2 linked regions of the Oryzias latipes genome follow. The protein of the gene in region 1 purifies or fractionates together with the protein of each later gene. This does not show direct contact. Links are inferred from orthologs where the notes say so. Each region holds a gene or a part of one and is shown on either strand. Other genes may lie near its edges.

Evidence for each region. The genes of interacting proteins can lie anywhere in the genome.
Region 2: the proteins of plekhj1 (region 1) and ocrl purify together in Homo sapiens (co-immunoprecipitation; 3 studies listed by BioGRID and IntAct, counting the BioPlex papers as one, with this or other methods). This does not show direct contact. The link is inferred for Oryzias latipes from reciprocal best matches to the Homo sapiens genes PLEKHJ1 and OCRL.

What each region holds. Positions count from the first base shown.
Region 1 is NC_019875.2:22,628,947-22,632,703, reverse strand, and holds the start of plekhj1 (pleckstrin homology domain-containing family J member 1), read right to left. Parts: upstream 2,681-3,757; 5' UTR 2,248-2,680; coding exon 2,154-2,247; intron 1,979-2,153; coding exon 1,911-1,978; intron 1,804-1,910; coding exon 1,737-1,803; intron 1,305-1,736; coding exon 1,214-1,304; intron 1-1,213. Other genes in the region: sf3a2 (splicing factor 3A subunit 2), read left to right, coding at 3,654-3,757.
Region 2 is NC_019868.2:9,856,326-9,859,982, reverse strand, and holds part of ocrl (inositol polyphosphate 5-phosphatase OCRL-1), read right to left. Parts: intron 3,184-3,657; coding exon 3,048-3,183; intron 545-3,047; coding exon 434-544; intron 267-433; coding exon 101-266; intron 1-100. UniProt on the Homo sapiens protein: Catalyzes the hydrolysis of the 5-position phosphate of phosphatidylinositol 4,5-bisphosphate (PtdIns(4,5)P2) and phosphatidylinositol-3,4,5-bisphosphate (PtdIns(3,4,5)P3), with the greatest catalytic activity towards PtdIns(4,5)P2.

The sequences.
Region 1 (3,757 bases):
AGAATCGTACTAGAAGAATTATTTCAAAGCACATTTAACGTATCTGTTTTACCATTTTGAGGCATTCATTTTTTATATCTTCTTCTTTTAGACTTTACACAAATGTCATTTTCTTGGATTTAATGTTTCTACAACCTGGTGAACAATTTCATGCCAAAAATTCTTCATGGTCCTAAATTGCTTGAAAGAACTGTTTGCAACTTTGTTTTTGATATGTTACATTAAAAAAGCATGAATTCTTTTTTTTAGAACCAATATCAATGACACATAGTCCTATCTTTCTAAAAATTATCCATCTTCTATCCAATTTTACTTAGACCGCTGTACTTCTGAAAAGAAAATATTGCCTTGAATAAATCAGTTTTATGGTTATTTAGGGGAAAGGTCATTTATGCTGCCATACCTTACTCACTATTCTGCATAACAACTAAAACAAACATGAAGTTCAGTTGCAATGAAACTAAAATAGTTTGTGATATTGTCATGGAGCGAATATTTGTTTATTTGAGTTTGTTGCTTTAAAATTGCATCATTGGTAGCACTTTTTAAAGAATACATGCAAAAAGACTACAAAAAAAAATGCAGACTAAGCATGGCATTCTCAAGTTCTCTGTGGTTTTTTTTATGTGAAATGTGGTTTGATTGGACTAACTATCTGGATTTATCCAAATGGGTCAAACAAACTCCAGACTAATAAAAACAGAGCTAATACTGTAAATTAACTTAAACTTTAAGCTTGAACAGCTACTGTTACTATAACTAAACCTATATGAGCTGCTAGTAATAGCTTGCAAATTGGTCAGATAAAATTTGCAAAGTTGTAAAGATGCTTTTGTTTTGTTTTTTATCTTGGCCACACGTGACTTCCTGTGACCGTATTGTTGGAGGACGTAATTTGGAAGATAAGAGGCGAAAAGCAGCACCACATCAGCAGGTCTTTCAAATGAGGACAATTCACTGTTTACTGGAAACTCCAAGTACCACAGATAAATGGTATTATTGCACTTTTATTTTTCTCAAGATTGACTGTGATTTGTACTCCTTTAAGATAAAAACTGGATCAACACACTAAGCAGAGGCTTTAAAAAAGATGTATTTATAAATGAAACTATTTTTGTTTTTTCCCGCTGAATTACATTATTACAAATTATGTTTCATAACTCCATAAAAAATGGCAATGTGTTTGTTAATAAAAGTGATTAAAAAAACGTACCTGGCTTTGATAATAGCATCTATCCATTCCTTACATTGGTCTTCAGAGTCACATTCAAACACATATTTCCTCTCTGCTTCATCTAGAAACGCTGTCAGCAGAGAAAATATCAGAAGCATATACTGCAATTAAAATAAATGTTATAAACATTAATTCAGCTGTATATTTTAGAGAAAGAAAAAAAAGTCAGACAATATTTATGGTCTCATTCACTGAACCGCAAGCTTGTGTTTCTCTTTCAAAATACTGAATTGAATTGATTCATAACTTAATGATTTAATATCATACAAATTTACCTTTAAAATGTACATTCCAAAACCAGATTTTCCAAGATAGATTATATGTATAAACCGAATAAAAAGAAATAATTAATGTCCTTGTGTATTGTAACATTAAAAATGTGATTAAAAAAAATTGAATTTGTACTGAAAATTTAAAGAAATTATATTAGACAACCCTACTTAGCAAAGCAGTAACTGTTTTGTTGGAGTGAAAGTATTGCAAGTAATAGTGACTCACTCACCAATGGAGAAAGTCTGTTTGTCCTCCTTCTCCACTCGACACTGCTCCAACAGCAAAGCTCCAATTGGCTAAAAAAAATAAAAAAGCAAAAAACTGGAACCTCAACTTAAAAAAAAGTATATATAAATAATACAAAACACTTAAAAATGTGGTGAAATAAGAAATCATCTCTCACCTCCTCTTCATCTATCCGAAAGTAAAACAGGAAGTTAACGACGAGTTTTACTAGTCTCCTCTTGACAACTGCATCCAATAATAATAATAATATTATCAGTTATGCTATGTCCATCGCTAAAAGAGAATATGTAATTATAATCCATCTTTTTAAATAATTCGGTCAGAGATTGAGGCCTATAATAAATACAAAGTAGGAACTATTCATTTGCGTCACTGATAAATATCAGCGCTCCGGCGTTACCGTCTCCTTTTTTGGGTCCCCGCATTCCTAATTCGGCTGCCATCTCCGAAGGCTGGCGGCTCAAAGAGACCATCTCCTTTTCGTTAAAACGCATCCCAGTCCCGGTGGAAGCAGGTACATTCAACCCGGACAGGCAGGCAGGCGGGCGGGGTGGACTTCAGTCTGTTACTGCTCCGCTTTCCTGACTAAAAACATCGTTGAGTTGCGTAACAACTTTACGACGTGTTAAGCGACAGTTTGTCGTGGAATTAGTCGGCTCGCTATCTAATGTATTCGAAAAGTGTCGAGGAATAACTGGTCATTTCTGCGGTCAATTGTAACACTTCTCCTTCTTTACAAACGGACGCATCGGCTGCTTTCTCTCTCTGCACCGACACTCCCATACACGGGGATCAACGAGTACAGGAACAAACGAGGGTCAAAAATGTTTTAAAGTCTATATTTAACAAATCACTTGAAGTTAGTAACAATTCAACATTTTAACGATCGTTCCGTTATGATTCTGAGTTTTAAAGAGGGGAAAAAAATAAGTAAATACAAGGGCAAACACCCGCTCCAGTCCAGATGGGGGCATCATTTTTTAACGGTTGACAAACTCGGGAAATGATTTGGCGCATGCTCAGTGCGAACAAACGCTTGCGTAGTGCCCTCGTTAGCAAACTGGTAAGTGTGTTTAGCGGATTGTTTGAAACGTTGTTTATAATTTATGCTGAATATATAGTTACTCGCAAAGCTAAACATTGATCATTTTATACGTTTTTTCTTTGTTTTCCGCTAAAATTTGATTTGTTGAGCTTTAGATGCTCTTTATAAGTCGCTACCGGTTAGCTTAGCATTTTCACAATGTTGTCTTTAGCTAGCTAGTAATGCTATTTAATTGCTACATGCTTATTCGGTGACGAGTTAAAACTGGGTTGTTAAAATGATGAAACTATTACGGATTTTTTTTTTCATTTATGAATATTATTTGACATTGCTGCGTTGTTTATGGGTTTCTCTTGCACCCACAAAAATACTCAATTACAATTGGTCGACTCGAGGACGTTTTGTTGGCTACAGATGTGTGCTCAAGTAATATTTTTTAAGGCCTTAAATAGTTTCAAAAATAAGATTTAAATAATTCGTGATGCTATTTTCTCCCCGTTTAAGTTTGTGAAACCTTAACTATGCTCTGCAATTGCCCCCCCCCCCATTAATTTATTTTATTTATTACTTTCTTCATTTGGCCCCTTTTTTATTCAGTCAGTTGAGATGCTATGTATTGATTGTCAATTTTTTATATAAAGTTGTTTTTTTTTTGTGGAGAAAAAGTTTGAGCTCAAGAAGTAATAACCCTTTTCGCAAATTCAATTTCTGTCTTTTGACTTGCGTTAACAAAGCAATAGAATGCTTACTTGTAGTATTAATCATGAGTTGACAAAAACATGTTTTCTATCCAGATAAGAAGAGATCAACAGGATTCCTGTTTTCTTACCTTGTGACTGAGTCCACCTCACAGAGATGGATTTCCAGCATCGAGCCGGAGGGAAGACCGGCAGCGGCGGGGTGGCCTCTGCCTCTGAAAGTAACCGTGACAGGCGGGAGCGGTTGCGTCAGCTGGCCCT
Region 2 (3,657 bases), on another chromosome or scaffold:
CAGTGTTTCAAAAATAAATATTGAAGACATGTCATCATAGGTGACACATTTAGAAACGGTCTCTTGGTGAAGCATTTTGTTGAAGGTCGTGGGAACATACTTGGCTCTAAGAATCCATCGCTGGGCTCAGCGCGCAGCCAGGACTTGCAGTACTGCGACTGATTGCATTTGGGGATGAAGGCAAAATGGCAGGGAACCTGACCGTCATTGGTGATTAGAAAACGTTCCCTCTGAAGCTGTCTGAACTTTACATCAATGAAGAAAAACTAGAGAGCAAAGAAAAGAAGCAAAGGTAATCAGAGCTTTAAAACCTTAAAAATGTGATTGTTTTTATGTGTGGGAATCTTGAAATATTACACATTTATACACGCATAGTTAAAACATGACTTAGTATTACTTTTTTGAGAACACGAGTATCTTTCTGCATTTTTACCTCAGTCTTGCTTAAGGACACAGATGGAAGGAAGTCGTTTTCCATTCTATCTATCTGTCGAACCGTTTCCTCAAACACCTTTTTAAAACGCTGGTCATCACCGACTTTTACCTGCAACAAAAACAGGAACAAAATATTTGTTTTTACAAAGTGTGTTGTTTTGCAACTTCTCCAGATCTATTGTGATGGTAAAACGATAATTCAGGCCAACCACTACTTTCAGTTCATGACATGTGAACGTCAGGACAAATTGATCACGTTTCTGACCGCTAGATTCTAAAAAAGCAGGAACTGACAGCAGGTAGAGTCACAACAATGATGTAGCCTCAGGCTGAGGCCTTTTTCCACTACTTTCTGTGGTGCCGGCTGTTGCTGGTCAGGACACGGGAGGGACAAAAGTTCTCTTGAGAAGGCAGAGAATGCAGACAGTGGACAAAGTGTATTCTAGGGTGAGAACAAACCCACAAGCCAATTAATCATCACAACGTGAATCAGTCGCTCTCTGTAAGACACAATGGACTCAGCAAACCGGACTTGCCCATGTTTCCACTATAGTAAGACAATAAGGGTTACAGATGAGGTGTTCTTTAGCCAGATCCCTGTCCAAGCCTCCAGTTATTGTTTGATCAAACTCCACTTGTTGGATGCATCTATTTTACTTTCCACGTGGGTTCATTCTTACACTCACGTTTAACAGTCCACCTAGCTCTCATCCACATGAAAAAGGCATTTTAATACATGTTCTACCTTTGTTCGGATTAAAATCACTTATGAAGTGTTTTTGTAACCAAATAAATTGGTTTGAAAGGAAATTTGAGAATAAAAAGACATACAGTGGGGCAAAACAGTATTTAGTCAGCCACCTATTGTGCAAGTTCTACCACTTAAAAAGATGAGAGACGCCTGTAACTTTCATCATAGGTATACCTCAACTATGAGAGACAAAATCTGAAAAAGAAATCCAGAAAATCACAGTCTTAAAGATTTTATTTGTAAATTAAGGTGGAAACTAAGAATTTATTCACCTACAAACAAGCAGGATTTCTGGCTCTCACAGACCTGTAACTTCTTCTGTAGAGGATCCTCTGTTCAGTATTACCTATATTTATGGCTCCTGTTTGAACTGGTCATCTAAATAAAAGACATCTGTCCACAACCTCAAACTGTCACACTCCAAACTCCACTAGGACCAAGACCAAGGAGCTGTCTAAGGACACCAGAAACCAAATTGTTGACCTGCACCAGGCTGGGAAACCTGTTTCTGCAATAGGTAAGCAGCTTGGTGTAAAGAAATCAACTGTGGAAGGAAATGGAAGACGCACAAGATCACTGATTATCTCTCTCCATCTAGGGCTCCCTGCAAGATCTCATCCCGAGGGGTCACAATGATCACAAGAACGGAGAGCGAAAACCCCATAACCACACGGATGACCTAGTGAATGACCTGCAGAGAGCTGGGACTAAAGTAACAAAGGCTACCATCAGTAACACACTACACCACCAGGGAATCAAATCCTGCAGTGCCAGACGTGTCCCCCTGCTATAGACAGTACATGTGTAGGCCCGTCTAAAGTTTACTAAAAAGCATTTGGATGATCCAGAATAGGATTGGGAGAATGTCCTATGGTCAGATGAATCCAAAAACCTCCTTCCATCAGCAAGGGTATTGAAGATGAAACATGTCAGAGTCTTTCATCATGACAATGATCCCAAACGCACTGCCCTGGCAACAAAGGAGTGGCTTCTTAAGAAGCGTTTCAAGGTCTTGGAGTGGCCTAGCCAGTCTCCAGATCTCAACCCCATAGAAAATCTTTGGAGAAAGTTGAAAGTCTGTGTTGCCCAGCAACAGCCCCAAAACAACTCTGCTCTAGAGGAGATCTGCATGGAGGAATGGGCCAAAATACCAGCAACAGTTTGGGAAAACCTTACAGACTTACAGAAAACATTCGACTGCTGTCATTGCCAACAAAGCGTAAATAAAGTACTGAGTTGAACTCATGTAATTGACCAAATACTTATTTTCCACGATAATTTACAAATGAAATCAGACAATATGATTTTCTGGATTTTTTTTCTCATTTTGTCTCTCATTGTTGAGGTATACCTATGATGAAAATGACAGGCCTTTCTAATCTTTCCTCATCTTTGATCTCATCTTCTCTCAACTTGCACAATTGGTAGCTGACGAAAAAAAATTTCCCCACATAGACTCCAATCATGAACTAATGAAGTGAAAAAAAATGAAAGAATCATTTTGGTAGTCATACCAAGTTCTGATTATAAGGCTAGAAAAATATGGCCAAAATAATTGTTTGACATTCATTCTCAATTGTATCATTTTATGTATAAAACAATGTCTAAGTTTAGTAGATGGTGGATTTTGTCTTATTGTTTTTGTAGCAGCTTGAGAAAATTAATGTCATTATTTCTACAGTACAGGACTGAACTGACAATAAAACCCACCTTACCTAATTTATGCTACAAACAAACCTGCATTTAAAGTCTTTCTATTCTAGTATGTTAAATGCTACTTTCAGAGTTAAAGATCTATTTAATCTATGTATAATTTGAACCCGCTGTCTGTTGTTTCCTCTTCAACAGCATTAAATCTTACCCCGATGCTGAAGATGGAACTGACAGGTTTATGATCGCTGGTTTTTAGTTCCATATGACTTCGGTATTCGATCAGCTCCACTTTGTTGCCCCTCCACAGGATTCTGTCACACCAAGCGGGGACTCGGTTTTTGGAGCTGTAGGAAACAGATAAAACAAAACAGTTTGAGGGAAAGGCCGGCAGCACTGCTGACTCTTTCTGATTACAACAATACGGCTACAGAAATGGTATCTGACAAGAACAACAAAGACCTGCAACTTAAACAAAACTACAAAGAGAATGATTATGAATGACTGATGTCAGGATTTAGATAAGTGTGAAAATCAGGTTTTATTGTTTGCTAAATTGAATCATTTTCAGCCAAATGGCAAAAGCATAAACCATAATAGAACATCTAAAAAAATATAATTGAGACTCCACTAAACTTTAAAAATAACTCACATTTTCCATCACTTGACCAAACATAACATTTCCTCCTGTTTTAGTAAACTGAATAACAACCATAGGAATTAAAAGATTAGCTCATGACCAATAAAAAAATACTGTATAAAGCTAAAAATAGGACAAACTTTGTTAGAATTTTACGTCAAAAACAAGTTAAATACAATCC